Linked DNA regions of Stegostoma tigrinum. The protein of the gene in region 1 purifies or fractionates together with the protein of each later gene. This does not show direct contact. Links are inferred from orthologs where the notes say so. Each region holds a gene or a part of one and is shown on either strand. Other genes may lie near its edges.

Evidence for each region.
Region 2: the proteins of cdk13 (region 1) and ccnk purify together in Homo sapiens (affinity purification with mass spectrometry; 4 studies listed by BioGRID and IntAct, counting the BioPlex papers as one, with this or other methods). This does not show direct contact. The link is inferred for Stegostoma tigrinum from reciprocal best matches to the Homo sapiens genes CDK13 and CCNK.

What each region holds. Positions count from the first base shown.
Region 1 is NC_081358.1:9,972,671-9,980,085, reverse strand, and holds the start of cdk13 (cyclin-dependent kinase 13), read left to right. Parts: upstream 1-4,300; 5' UTR 4,301-4,689; coding exon 4,690-5,687; intron 5,688-7,415. UniProt on the Homo sapiens protein: Cyclin-dependent kinase which displays CTD kinase activity and is required for RNA splicing.
Region 2 is NC_081363.1:18,537,608-18,544,898, reverse strand, and holds the start of ccnk (cyclin-K), read left to right. Parts: upstream 1-4,261; 5' UTR 4,262-4,327; coding exon 4,328-4,467; exon of another isoform or gene 4,468-4,662; intron 4,663-7,289; exon of another isoform or gene 7,290-7,291. UniProt on the Homo sapiens protein: Regulatory subunit of cyclin-dependent kinases that mediates activation of target kinases.

The DNA.
Region 1 (7,415 bases):
GAATGCATTGTCGGAGAGGGCAGTGGAGTTGGCCTCATTAGGGGCATTTAAGCAGCTATTAGATAGGCATGTGGATAGTGTAAGGTAGTGATGGAGGTTAGATAAACCTTATGTTTCAGGTAAAAGTTTGGCACAACATCGTGGGCCAAAGGGCCTGGACTGTTCTATGTTGAAGACGCCAGCAAATTTATTCAATTAATAACTCTTCTGTACCCTTTTTATTTCAGTAAAGAGTTTGCCCTGCTTGTTCCTGGTGTCCTACTCGAAACTTTGCTAATCTTTTATTAACATGTTTGAAGAGCATTGAGCTATTTGTTTTATTGCAACCTGTGATCTCTTTTCTGATGCTTCCTTTTTAGCCATTTTGCTATCCTTAACGCCTCTCCTGCCTTTGATAAATCTGTTCCTGAATTCTATTGCTATTATTAGCTTCAGATAATCTTGCTGTATGATTGGCTATGCATTGCAATTGCAATGTGTCGGGCCTGCAGATTCAATGTGCTAACAATCCTTTCAATAGATTTGTGCCCTAATTCCTTTAATCAACAATTGTGTGAATTTGGCAAAAGGTTCAGAGCTTGCAGCAGCCAATTGTCATTGTGAAAAGTTTAGCATGCCCCTGGCTTTCCAATTTTTACTTAGTGCAGAAAATTCTCACTGCTAGGTACCTTTTCTTTAGTTTTCTTGGCAGAGTTTCTTTCTTTATGTAGTGGCAAAATGTGACTGTCAAAAGGTGCTAATAGTACCTCCGGGTTCAGCAACATGTAGGATATTTTCAATTGTGAGTATGGAACTTGGCTTGTGTGACTACTTAGTGAATGAACTCAATAGCAAATATTTTAATGAATTGCCACTGCAGCCCAAGTCAAAATTCAACATGTGCCTGCTAGCCACTGTTCTGTTCAGCTAAGGTGCTGTTTAGAGTAGTTACATAATAGATGTTGTTTTTGGATTAAAATGCAAACTGAAAATTTGTGATTGCTCAATGTCATGATTATCCATATTGTAAACTGAATATGAAAATAAAACTGGATTGAGGGTTGCATTTATCTATAAAGTGTGCAAACACATTAAAGTAAATCAACTTTTCTGGCTATCACGGTTGAAGGCATTGCATAGGTGTAGATACAAATGATCAATCAACTCTTGTGCTCCAGCAGAGTGGTGAGGGCGTTGTGACGATTTGGGAAAGATCTGCGGCCAATTATGATTATTTCTATCCACATTGGGATTAGGAAAAAACTGAAGCAGTGTTAGCATCTACAGGTAGCACAGACTTTGAGTTATACTAGATGACAAGTTCAGGCCATGACCATCTCTCCATGACACAAAAAGGCATTACTATTGCTGACTCTCATTAATCAAACTGGACTGGAACAGCTGTGCAAATTCTGTAGCTACAAGAACCAGTCAGAGGCTGAGAATTAACTTGCTTTGAGTTCCAAAGCCTGACTACCATCTATAAGTTAGGTCAGGAATAAGGTGTAAATAGTCTTCACTTAACTGGCTGAATGTGACTTAACACTTAGCTTAACACTTTTCAGGACAAAACAGGCTATTTGATCAGCACTTATTCAGCCACTTTGAACATTCAATCTTTTGACCACTTGTGTGGAGTGGCAGCAATGTATGCTGGATGAGAAAGGGAAATATGATAGATGCTCAGAGCTTGATGATATTTCTGAAGTATGTACTTTTTAACTTGGTTAACCAATCTTCTGCTATCCCTGCTTCTCTTAGCTTGCCTGTGAGAGAGGCTACTTGGACCAGGTAATTTATTCATTGTAACCAGCCTTTCCAAAGTTTTTGTTTTCATTTTCATCTCATTATCTCTATCTCTACCATTCCATTCGTTTTAATTCCATTAAATTTCTCTTTATCTAGTACTAGGTGCTAGCCAAGGAGTAGCAGTCAAGAAAGAAGTTAGTTAAATGGAGCTGTGTGTTGACAGTGTGCGTGCTGCAAGTACTACTTGAATAATGTCATGAGGGAAGCATGTAGATTAGAAATAGGAGCCAGGAATCGATTTCTGGGATCCAGCTGGGTAGGAGAACTGTTAGTTGATCATCCTAACAATCTGTTAAATGATGGGGTGTCACAAGGTAGTAGGATACCACCTGGTGACTGACTATTAGGAGAAATTAATTATGACAAAGTGTGGGAGATAATGGGAACTGCAGATGCTGGAGATTCCAAGATAATAAAATGTGAGGCTGGATGAACACAGCAGGCCAAGCGGCATCTCAGCAGCACAAAAGCGGACGTTTCGGGCCTAGACCTTCCTTCAGAGACGGGGATGGGGAGAGGGTTCTGGGATAAATAGGGAGAGAGGGGGAGGTGGACCGAAGTTGGAGGGAAAAGAAGATAGGTGGACAGGGGCGTATAGGTGGGTAAGTAGGGAGGGGATAGGTCAGTCCAGGGAAGACGGACAGGTCAAGGAGGTGGGATGAGATTAGTAGGTAGGAAATAGGTGGCTGGAGGTGGAAGGAAGGGATGGGTGAGAGGGAGACAGGCTGGGCTGGTTTTGGGATGCAGTGGGGGAAGGGGAGATTTTGAAGCTTGTGAAGTCCACATTGATACCATTGGGCTGCAGGGTTCCCAAGTGGAATATGAGTTGCCGTTCCTGCAATCTTTGGGTGGCATCGTTGTGACACTGCAGGGGGTCCCATGATGGACATGTCGTCTGAGGAAGGGAAGGGAGATTTAAAATGTTTCGCGACTGGCAGGTGCAGTTGTTTATTGCAAACTGAGCGGAGGTGTTCTGCAAAGCAGTCCCCAAGCCTCTGCTTGGTTTCCCCAATGTAAAGGAAGCCACACTGGGTACAATGGATGCAGTATACCACATTGGCAGATGTGTAGGTGAACATCTGCTTAATATGGAAAGTACCGAATGGTATCAATGTGGACTTCACAAGCTTCAAAATCTCCCCTTCCCCCACTGCATCCCAAAACCAGCCCAGCCTGTCTCCGCCTCCCTAACCTGTTCTTCCTTTCACCCATCCCTTCCTCCCACCTCAAGCCGCACCTCCACTTCCTACTAACCTCATCCTACCACCTTGACCTATCCCCTTCCTACTTCCCCACCTCTATGCCCCTCTCCAACTATCATCTTTTCTGTCCATCTTTGGTCTACCTCCCCCTTTCTCCCTAATTCAGAACCCTCTCCCTATCCCCCTCTCCGATGAAGGGTCTAGCCCCGAAACGTCAGCTTTTGTGCTCATGAGATGCTGCTTGGCCTGCTGTGTTCATCCAGCTTCACACTTTGTTATCTTGGATTCTCCAGCATCTGCAGTTCCCATTATCACTATTAGGAGAAATTAGTTCCTTTCTCCTTCCCAGTTGTTACAGCCGTTTAATCTCCAACTGGAGTCCCTAGTCCAACAGGGGGAAAAATATTACCTGAAAAGCTGCTTTTAGACTGAATTGTACTTCAGATTTCCTAGCATTTGTTGTGTTTTTGTCTTAAGCAATAAAATTTGTTCAAGGTAAAGTAGTTTTGAACAGGGAAATGTGGGTACTTGGACTCTTGTCAGCTAATTAGCATAGCTTTTCAGGGCTTGACAACTTTATATTTCTTCATTTGTTTAGGATTTAGAGGCTACACTATTTAAAAAGATGCTGAAAGTGGCAAAACGTTCATAGAAGAGGGGTGTGAATAGGGTAAAAGCTCGAGGAAAGATTTAAAATGAACTACCTGAGGCAGGCGTAATTCCGTTTAAAAGGCTGCTGGATGGGTATATGAAGCGGAAGGGTCCACATTAAGCTAGAATATGTGGTGGGCGTTCAAAAGAAATTTTTTTGGGGGTGGGGGAGAGGGGACTGTTCTTATGCTGTACAAATGAGTCTTGGCTGCTGAGGTCAAAAATCACATGGCACTAGGTTCATTGGAAAATATCAACTTTCCAGACCCTCCACATTTCTATCCAGCGTGCTTGGGCTAGTGGTGGTCCAGCGGTACAAAGAGCTGCACAAGAGAAATGTTGTGATGAGTTTCGTGCTACTAACCTAATTTTTGCAAATAAAAGTCCTCTGTTGTGCAAGATAACAAAGTGTGATGCTGGATGAACACAGCAGGCCAAGCAGCATCTCATGAGCACAAAAGCTGACGTTTCGGGCCTGGACCCTTCATCAGATCCGGCGCCTCCTCTGTTGTGCAACTGTGTTATCCAGGTCTTGTTTCTCTCTCTCTCTCTCTCTCTCTTACACACCCCCTCCCTCATGTACATCGAGGACGAGAGACATTATCACCGCCTCCTCCTCCTCCTCTCCAACTGCCTGGAGGCTCGCCCCGGAAGTGAACGGGCAGGGCAGGGTTAGCCGCACGGTCGCGGCTGGTCTACACCCCGCAACCACCCAAAACCGGGAGGCGGCCATTTTGTGAGTCGGCGCAGAGGCGGCGAGTGTTGCGCGCGCTGCGGGGGCCGGGGACGAGCCGACGCTGTTAGAGCGAAGAGGAGCGAGAGGGGGGGCGCTAAGAGCCTGTTTCTCTCTCTCCACCACCCCCCCCCCCTCCACCGCTGCGGCACCAAACTCCCACAGGCGGTAGGCCCAGCTTCCCTCCCGGCTTCGCTTTTTATTTTCCGCCGATTTCTCTTCCCTCGCCCGGAGACCGGGAATGCGCGGCAGCTCCGAGCGGATGGAGTGAGCGGCCCCGGAGCTGGAGGGGGATACGGGGAGTCGCGGAAGTCAATGCCGAGTTCGGATACGCGCGGCGGGAGCCGGGGTCGCAGCCCCAGCGGGAGGAGACACCAGAGCCAGAGCGGCCCGGCTCCGGCCCAGGCCCGGGATAAAGGCCGCTGCTCGACCGCCGCCGCCGCCTCGTCCGCTCCTCCTCGCCCTTCGTCGCGTTCGCGGCGCAGGAAACGCCGCAGGAAGCGCTCGGCCGAGAGCCGGGCCCAGCGGAGGGACGGCAAGTACCCGGGGTCCGCCGCGGCAGCCTGCTCGGCTTCGGGCTCCTCGGCCCTCCCGCTCCGCGGCCTGGTCGAGTACGAGGACGTGAGCTCACAGTCGGAGAATTTCGGCTTCAGCCCCGCGTCTTCAGCTGGGCGCCGGGCCGAGCGATCCCGCGACAAGGAGAGGCGCAGACGGGACAAGGGCAAAGAGAGCTCCCGGTCCAGGGCGGACGGCAAGGCCAAGAGTAAAAGCCGGAGCCGGAACAAAGCCGGGGCGGCGGCCGAGCAGCCGGCCCAAGGCGACAAGGAGGCCCGGGGAGGCCGCGGTTCGCACCGCACCGACAAAGAGACGCCCGCGGCTTACAGAGAGCCTCCGCCGCGGGCCTACCGGGAAGCCGACTGGGAGGCTCCGCGGGCCTACCGCACCTCGACCTCTCCCGGGCCCCGCAGTCCGCCTTACCGGGAGCAGAGCCCCTACGGTACATCTGTCTCGTGTTACCCGCAGGCTTACGGGGTCACCTCCGGCCATAGCCCCAGCAGGCCCCCTGCCTTCGAGCTGTACAGCCCTCCGCCGCCGCTCTTCGCTTTCAAGCCGCTGTACAGCTCGCGGGAGTCGGCGTTACACGCCGGCTATACCGGTCGTTCTCCCAGCCCTTACCCGACTTCACGCCGCCGCTCTCCCAGCTTCTCCAGGCACCTTAGTCCCTATGATTATGGCGCTCTGTCCCCCGCTCCCTACTCCTCCAGCAGTCGGCGACGCTCGTCCAGTCCTTACAGCCGGAGCCCGGAACTCAGGTGAGACAACAGTCTGCACATCTCGAGTGTTTGAACTATTATCGTGTTAAATATATCTAAAAATTAGTCCGAAATGTACCCCGTGTACACACATTCCTTAAAGTCGGAAGTATGTACGTGAAACATAACGTATCAAGCATCAAATATTGTAAAGAGAAAAAATGTACATCCAATGTTTCTTGAAATCGGAAAGGTAGTGTACATACATTACGCGTCATGCCCGTTTGATAAGTTCCTGCCATACATTAACTGTAGGCGTTGAATAGCGAATGCAATGTTTCTTGATACTACACAACTCATTTGGGCAGTTAAATTGTTTAAAATGTTTGGAGTCTCACATAGGATTTATGGTTTTTTTTAATTAAGTTTTAGAAGTTTTAAAAAGTCATGCTTTGTGAGAAAGCAAATTTGCAAATGATTGAATTGAACACTGAGCTTTGTACCATTAATGATAATTTTGCATTTGTGGTTTTTATGTAACAATATTTGAGAGAGTGCAACATTCGGTACTCTCTTGAAATTGCAGTTATTTAGTTTGTTTGAGGATTCAGTTCTTGACCCACTCATTCTTTATCAGCTCTTGACTGTTGGCAAAAAGAGATCTTTTCGCCATTGGGGATAACACTAGGAAGTATTTTGATATTTAGCTCTAGCTTTTTGGTAACCTGTGTAATTGAATAGTTGATGAAACACTTGTGAAACTAAAATGGTGCAGTCATAATATCGAATATTTGTTCAGCCACCTATAGCTGATGATTTGTTTTTATGATCTATTTCATGATGTGTTATTAAGAACAAATGGAAGCTTAAACTACTGCAAGTCTATATAGTGATGAACATCTGAGAAGGAGTGAGGCTACATATGAATTTTTGTCATTTTTGGGTACTGCTGTATTTCTAATTTGTATATGGTTTCTGGCGGTAATTCCCAACTTCTTTGCATCAGTGGGACTTTGAGAATCATCTGTCATTGCCAATAACTTGTAAAATCCTCATATTTCTGATAGAAATGTGTCTTGATGTTCTGAATTTGCAGTTATATGTCAACAATTTTTAAGAATAAGTAAACCTTTTATTCAAACAACTCAACTCACAAAATTTGCATGTGATTAAATAGCAAGTAAAGAATATAAGAATCATATAGGGCCTGTACTTCAAGACCTCTGGGTTTGAAAGTAATTTGCTGATCATTGTTCAGGTACCTTTTTAGAACCAGTTCAGAACAGTATAGCAGAGGAATAGACCCTCAACCTACCATGTCTGTGCTGACCATGATGCTATTTCTAAACTAATCCCATGCTTTGTTCTGTTGGTATTGAAAAGTAGTTTCTCGCACTAGCTGCTTGGGCTTTCTCAAATAACTTCCTATATCTTAGCTTCATAGCTGTACAATACTGTTCCATTTAGAATGGTGGAGATAAGACCACACAACTGTTTGCCTTCTCTAGCTATATAATATGTTATTTTGTAGTTTGAGCTTGACTTCTGAAATTTGGCCAAAATTCTCTGAAAAATGTGTGCACATGGTGTATTATGAGGTGTGCAATCATTATTTTCCTGCTTGTAAAATAGAAAAAGAATATCAGAGGGTAAAACATTAAACATGTTCTGCAATATTTTTGCCCAAACCCCAAACCATCCTAATTGACATTGCTGTTTCTTGGTCAAATTCCTGGAACTTCCTTCTTCTTACCAGTGTGGGTCTACCTGTGCTCCTAGGATTTCAGC
Region 2 (7,291 bases), on another chromosome or scaffold:
AGCAACCATTTACTGAAACATACAATGCTAAAACATGACGGAAAAAAAACAAGAAAACTCACTCCTCCAAATGTCATTGCAGAACATTTATAAGTGAAACATTATTACACATAATAATAACTTACACTCAGTCTTGGATTCAGCACACATTATCACAGCTAAAAACAAATTATTTGGAAATGATTAGAACCTAGCTACATGTAAATTGACTGCCTGTTTCCTACATAATAACAGTAACTACACTTCCAAAGAAGATAAATTAGCTTTGAAGTACTATGGGTTATCTTTCAGGAAAAAACATCACTGTTATAAATGTGAGTTTTTTTTTGGAGAATCTGTCTGGGCAATTTTGTTTTCTTTCCTTTAGTATTTCTTGGGATATGGGTGTTATCAACAAGTCCAGCATTTGTTACCCATTTCTAATTGCCCGTGAACTGAGTGACCTACTCAGTCACTTCAAGTGGGGTAGTTGAAAGTAAACCACATTGCTGTAGCTATCAAGTCACATACAGGCCAGACAATGTTAGGACAGCAGACTTCCTTCCTTAAGGGGTATCAGTGAAGCAGATTTATTAACTGAAATCAAATTCTACAAAACATCTGTGGAGGAATTAAAACCCATATTTCCAGTGGAAATATGAATTACATCACGACATAATAATCATAGAACCCCATTCAGCCCAAGAAGTGCACACCAACCCGTCAAAGAGCATTCCATCCAAACTCATTCCTTAAACCTGCACTTCAGTACTAGTAGATAATGCAACTAACCTGGATTTCCCTGAACACTATTGGAAATTGAACATGGCCAATCCACCTAACTTGCATATCTTCGGACTGTAGGAGGAATCCAGGGCACCCAATGGAAACCCACACAGACATGGCGAGAACAGTAAAACCCCATGCAAACAGTTGACCGAGGCTAGAATTGAACCCAGGTCCCAGGGTCTGTGAGGCAGCAGCGCTAACCACTGAGCCACTGTGCTTTCCCCCACATGACTGACATTGTTTTTTAAATTCACTTGTGGAACATTGTCCTTTCTAAAAAATTGTTTTAGTCCATAAGCGTTGAATCAAATTAAGCACATCTAAGCTAGATGTAGGAGAGTTGAAACTTTTCAAACAATGCTCCTTTATTTCCTTTTTCTAGGATAGTTGGATAATCTTCTCTTACAAATACGAATCAAGTTTTTCGCATTCTCCATCTGTCTTGTTCTGCAATCTCTCCCACAATGAAAAAAAAGGGCAAATCCTGAATTGTCACAATGGCCTATAACATCTCAATCAAGTATTAACTTCCGGAATATCTGAGCAAATACCCCTCATGCTTTTTATGATTTCTTTTACAATATACAGGAGAAAAAAAAATTTTGTTTTGGACTGCCTCCAAACAAGGCTGGCATTGACATACCGGGCCATGTGACCTCCTGTGCACTAAACATCTATGAATCAAAACCAGTTCATTCTTTGGCTTACCATGAGCAATGGATCAGGGGTTAGTTATACTAAAAGAAAAAGAGAAGAAGAAAAAGAGATTGCATTCATGCAATTTACACATTCTAGTCACTGAGGCAAGTCCTCCTAGAAAAGTAAAACAGTGGACAGTAACACCTTCAAATCCATACCCTAAAGTTCTATGAAATCAAAGTGTCCAGCTATACAAAATATGCCCAACTAGCCTTTCATATACATGTTTCAGATACAATGGGAACTGCAGATGCTGGAGAATCCAAGATAATAAAAAGTGTGGGGCTGGATGAACACAGCAGGCCAAGCAGCATCTTAGGAGCACAAAAGATGCTTTTGGGCCTAGACCCTTCATCAGAATTTTTTTTTTCTGAAGAAGGGTCTAGGCCTGAAACATCAGCTTTTGTGCTCCTGAGATGCTGCTTGGCCTGCTGTGTTCATCCAGCCTCACATTTTATTTGGTTGGATTCTCCAGCATCTGCAGTTCCCATTATCTCTCTCTACTACATAAAGAGAGTTGTCCAGACTGGTAAAAGTAATCAGTTGAAAGCATTATTGTAAATTTATCACTACCATCAAGAAATACTGTAACTTTGAATAAAGTAACAGAACTTTCCTAAATCAAGGATTGTCTGCTGGTATTCAAAAAACTATTCCTTTATCAACCAACACCATTTTTAAAAAATTAATTAAATTGTTGGCTGCTGCATCAGTCAACACTCCAGAAGACACAGAGCAGTGTAAATCACCAAACATTAAAAGAAAACTTGCACCTAAATAGCAAATTTCAGGGCTTCAAGACATCTCAAAGCACTTTACAGCTAATGAACTACTTTTGAAATGTGGTCATTTCTGTTGTGATGTTGGGAACATTCCTGTTTTGCAGTGACCCTTGGCGTACATATTGCCACTATGAAGGTGGATTTTCTGGATTTAGGAAAACCATCTCATTAATACTAGTATCCTACTGGAACTAGGTCTATCAATAAACAGACAAAGCCCCAGCAAAATCAATTTTGTCAGACTGATCACTGCGAACAAAAATCACCTCCCCACCAGTTCCTGTTTCCTCAATGTTCAAATGAGAAATAATCCAATGGAGGCCAAAGAAAATATTTCATGGACACTCTGAAGCTCTCCTTAAAGTACAACATCATTGACCTCAATGATTGTGAGGGTTTTCCATTATTCATTCAGAATAGTGACAATTCATCCACCAAGTACTTTGATCTATATGACAGGAATGACGCATAAAGACCCAAGGTAAAAACTCACTAGCCTGAAGAGATAGCATCTTGAATAGTGGGTCAGGTGACTACAAGAACAGTTGTCAAGCAAGAAATATAACAACTGATTTGTTCAGAGTAAACCATGCCACAAAGAACAATGCTAGTGGTCAGTTTATTTGGTTTGTTATGTTGCCTGACGGATAAACATTGGCCATGACACCACAGAGAACATCCTTCTATTGTTCACAACAGTCTTTATTCTTTCTTCATTTATGAAATGACGGCATCGCTGGCTCGGCAGCATTTATTGCCCATGAGGGCAGTTAAGAGTCAACCACATTGCTGTGCATCTGGAGTTACATGCAGGCCAGACAAGATAAGGATGGCAGTTTTCTTGCCTAAAGAACATTGGTGAACCAAATGAGTTTTTCCCCAACATTCAACAACACGGTCATTAGATTCTTAATTCCAGATATTTTATTGAATTCAAATCCCACCATCTGATTCGTCCCCAGAAGATTATCTGGGTCTCTGGATTAACAATCCAGCAATAAAACCACTAGGCCATTACTGCCCCTAACAGTACAATTTTTTGATCTGAAAAATTCTCTCTAAACGTGTCGCACTCCTTGTCTAATGGCATTAGAGCGTTAGCCCAGGTTATGGTCAAACCTCAAGTCTCTCGAGTGGAACTTGTAGCCCACACCGTTTGATCCGCGGCGAGATGGCTACACACCAAGCAAAAACTCATAATTTAAATTACAGCAACTTAATACCTTGCTACGGATCAGACAGTGCCGTCAGTGGCACTGTCCATTCGTGCTTAAAATCGAACCACTCTCGCCAAACGTCTACTTCTCCCAAATGAAGTTATATAGAACAAACGTTTAATAATTTGCTTAAAAGCCAATTTTAAAAAAAACGTCTACCTCGTCCTGATTAAACCTGGCTCTTTAACCCTGCAATGCCCAAAGTCTGACTTTGGACTTCGTGAAGATGAGGGTTTACATGATCCCTGACACTAAAAAAAAGTATGCAACAGCCAAATAAAGGGTTAAGGCTCTACAGGCCCTGCCTGCTCCATCACTCACTCATGTCCTTACACTCAGACACAAGCGCGCAAAATAAGCTAGGTACCAACGGCATTTCACACCGATAGAAGCCAATCGCAATAAAAAAAAAGCTGAAGGAAGAGAGCAACTGAATAACCTGAACACCGCAGTTGTCTGTTGAAGGAAAAATAAACCGGCAGTCACAGCAGATTGAAAAAATCACCCCAGTCAGTCAAGCTTGATGCTACCTCTCAGCCTAACTTGATAGCGACCCAAAGCGCCCACCCCGCTGCCACCGTGATTGGTTCACCTACAAGAGGCTCTCATGTCCATTGGTTCCAAGTGTCATCAATCACGAGCCATGCCGCCCCACCCGACCAGTTTGAACCGTCAAAACCCGCCCCCAGCCCTTGCAATGTACCCTGCCCCATTCCCGTCGCGGATACCGTCGATTGGATGAATGACGATACAGCCTCCCGCCAAGGCTGGCTTTCAATGGGCTGGAGCTGGCCGTCAATCAGATCACGACTTGGCGTTCCTGTTGTTAGAGGGTGGAGGAATGGGGAAGAGCGATATCAGATGCGCATGTGCGTTTACTCGTCGTCCGTGTGGGGGTGGTTTGTTCAAAATGGCGGCGCCCTGTCTGAATCGTTTGGGAAGTTTGGAGTGAAAGTGCCGGTGTCGGAGAGGGAGAAGGACAGAGAGGAAGATCGTGAGCAGTTGAGTTTGTTGGTCCGCCTTCATACTCTTTCCCCTTGTTTCTTCGGATCCTGCTGTGACTTTTGGGACCGCTCTAGTCGATTGTTTGTGGGGAAGCAGCTTAAGCTGGACGGTCGGGGCGAGAGGGAGATTTTCTGTTTGACTGTGGAGCCGAGTTTGGTGTAGTGTGAGGCCGGGCCTCAGCACTGCCTTAGGTAAGAGATCGAGCGAGGTGGGCACATGTAGTCAGCGGTGACTATTGCCGTTGTACTAGAGGTAGCTTCGCTTTTGGGCTGTGAGCTGTAACCCCCGCCTCGCATGAAAGCTGCACCGACTGCTGTTTAGGGCCCCTAGCCCCTTTGGAGGGGACAGGGATCAATAGTGGGGTTTTTATTGCAGTTTCACATCTACTGATTATACTACCCCCCCCCCCCCCACTTCACTGATGTTCAACGTACCACCCCCCCTCTCCTACCCCTCCCCCGGCCAAAATAAAGGGATATAATTTGTTTTTTTTTAAATCTTTTCATGCGTCGTGAGTAACTTTGTCTTTGAACCATTATCGGGAAGCGAGGGCGAAGGGCTTTGTAAGAACATTTGGGTGGTTTGGAGTCGCTGTACCCCTTAACTGCTGTTGTTGTGTCATTGAGGAAATCTGATCACTCGTAACACTGATTAATTATATTGATGAAACGTTAAATTATTTTAATCTACACTGAGAATCAATTTGGGAAATCTGTTTTTTTGGAGCTTCTTTTGTAGAATGTAATGTATTCTTTTTTTGGCTGACTACTTCAGAAATTGCTCTCCAAGTATATCTGCTGTTGTCCAGTTGGAAGTGTCATTATGTATGGGCTAGAATGCTTGGGTTCAAGAGGTGTGTCATAACATAGTTAATATTTTGACCCAAAGTTAACTCTTTCTGTCTCCACAGATGATACCAAACCATTGAGCTTCTCTAGCATTCTGTGTTAGTCTTAGATTTCCAGTATGTATGGTATTTTGCCTTTGTGTGTCATAACATCCCCATAGAGGTTGATTTAAAAATACCTATCCATTGTGATATCACAATATGGTGATGCAAATGCTAGAGAAAATTCAAACTGTTTTCAGTATTTTTAGCAGTAAATGTTAGCTGGGTACCCCTACTCCTCTTCAGTAGTACCTTTTGGATCTTAGTATGAGACCATGCGAATGGGCCTCAGTTTTATGTCACAAAGTGGTGACAATTCTACCAATGCAGTACCTGTCACTAGTATTGTGAATTCTTCAGTATTAGGTTTTTAAAACATTTGATGTCCACAACACTTTCCACTTGTAATAAGATGCGTAGAATGTTGGAAGCACACTTTTTCCAAATGAAAAATGAAGGAATGATATTTGTGCATCATTTCCCTGTCTCTTGATATCAACCAAATTTGTGGAGTTCCAAGGTCTTAACACTCCCCCAATTAACACCCATTGAGCAATTGGAGTGAAGTTGCTCTACTGATACTAACTGTTCCTTCTCCTGTCCAGACCAGACTCTAAGCAACGGATGTCCCTCCATAAAGGTCCTCAAATCTCATTCACTTCCTGAAATAAAAACAACAAATGTTGGAAATACTCAACAGGACTGGCAATATCTGTGAACGTAGAAACAGAGTTAATATTTCAGGTCATAGCCTGTCATCTTTTTTCTATGTCATTCCATAAAAAGTACAGCTGTTCGTTGCAATAGTATCCTGCTCAATGAGAAAGGAATTGCATTTCAACACTGACCAAGATCTTGGACCTTTCTTAGTATCACTTTATGGCTCTTTAATTGGGACTGTTAGCATTATAACCTAGACGGTTGCCTTGAGAAAGGAATTCCAGACCTTGTGGTCTTGCAGCTGAGGGCAGCCATATACCCATGAAAATCAGGGGCGTAGAAACCAGAGTTGGCGGAATACAGGAGTCTTGGGGGGTGAAGGGGTGTGCTTGTATGGCTTAAGTAATTTGCAAAGGATTTGTCGAACTTAATAGAATTTTAAAGATTGGTGTCATATCAGAATAGTCAGTCATGGAAAATGAAAATGTTAAGTTTGAGACATTGAGTCAGTGCAGGTTTGCAAAAGTTAGGTGAGTGGGACCTATGTGGGAGAGAATTTTGTTCTAGATGAATCAGTTGCAGTATCTGAAACATAGGCTGGTAAGGTGAGTATTGGATAATTGAGTCTGTGAGTGGCAAAGAGCAAAAGAAGGGTTTCAGCAGTCAATGGTGGTCATAGGCATTAAGTTGGAAATTTGAAGTCTTTTGTGGTGGGGCTGCAGTGGGTTCAAAAATTAAGATTTTTCACCAAGTAGGAGAAAAGTTGCAAGCAGCGTGCTTCACTCAAAACACTTAGTGAGAGGGTTGGTCGCAGTCAATGTCAAGGAACTGGTGATACCAAATAATATCCCAAAAGGCAGAAATCCCACAATTCCAGAACAGTTTAAATTATGGAAGGCATTCAAGTGTGAGACCACTTAATTTGCTGAAGTTGACAAATAGTTTAACAGTTTACAATGGAGACTACGTTCCCATGATCCTTAACGAGTTTCTGTTTTAGCTGAAATAAAACAAAGTTTGTAGGTGTACTCTGAACCGGTTAATCTGTGATGTAATCTCAGTATTTAGTGGCGCCACACATAGGTTTGTTAAAATAATCATATCTTTCACTTGGTCAGAAGTTAGTAAAGAAAGTTCAAATTGGCAAACTCATTTTCTTTTTGTTACACCATTTATTTCGAATGCTGAAGTTTAAATTGTTGACTGATTTCAATACTGTCAAGTTAGCACACTTACAGTTGACCTTTGTTCTTACCAGTGGATTCCTTTCA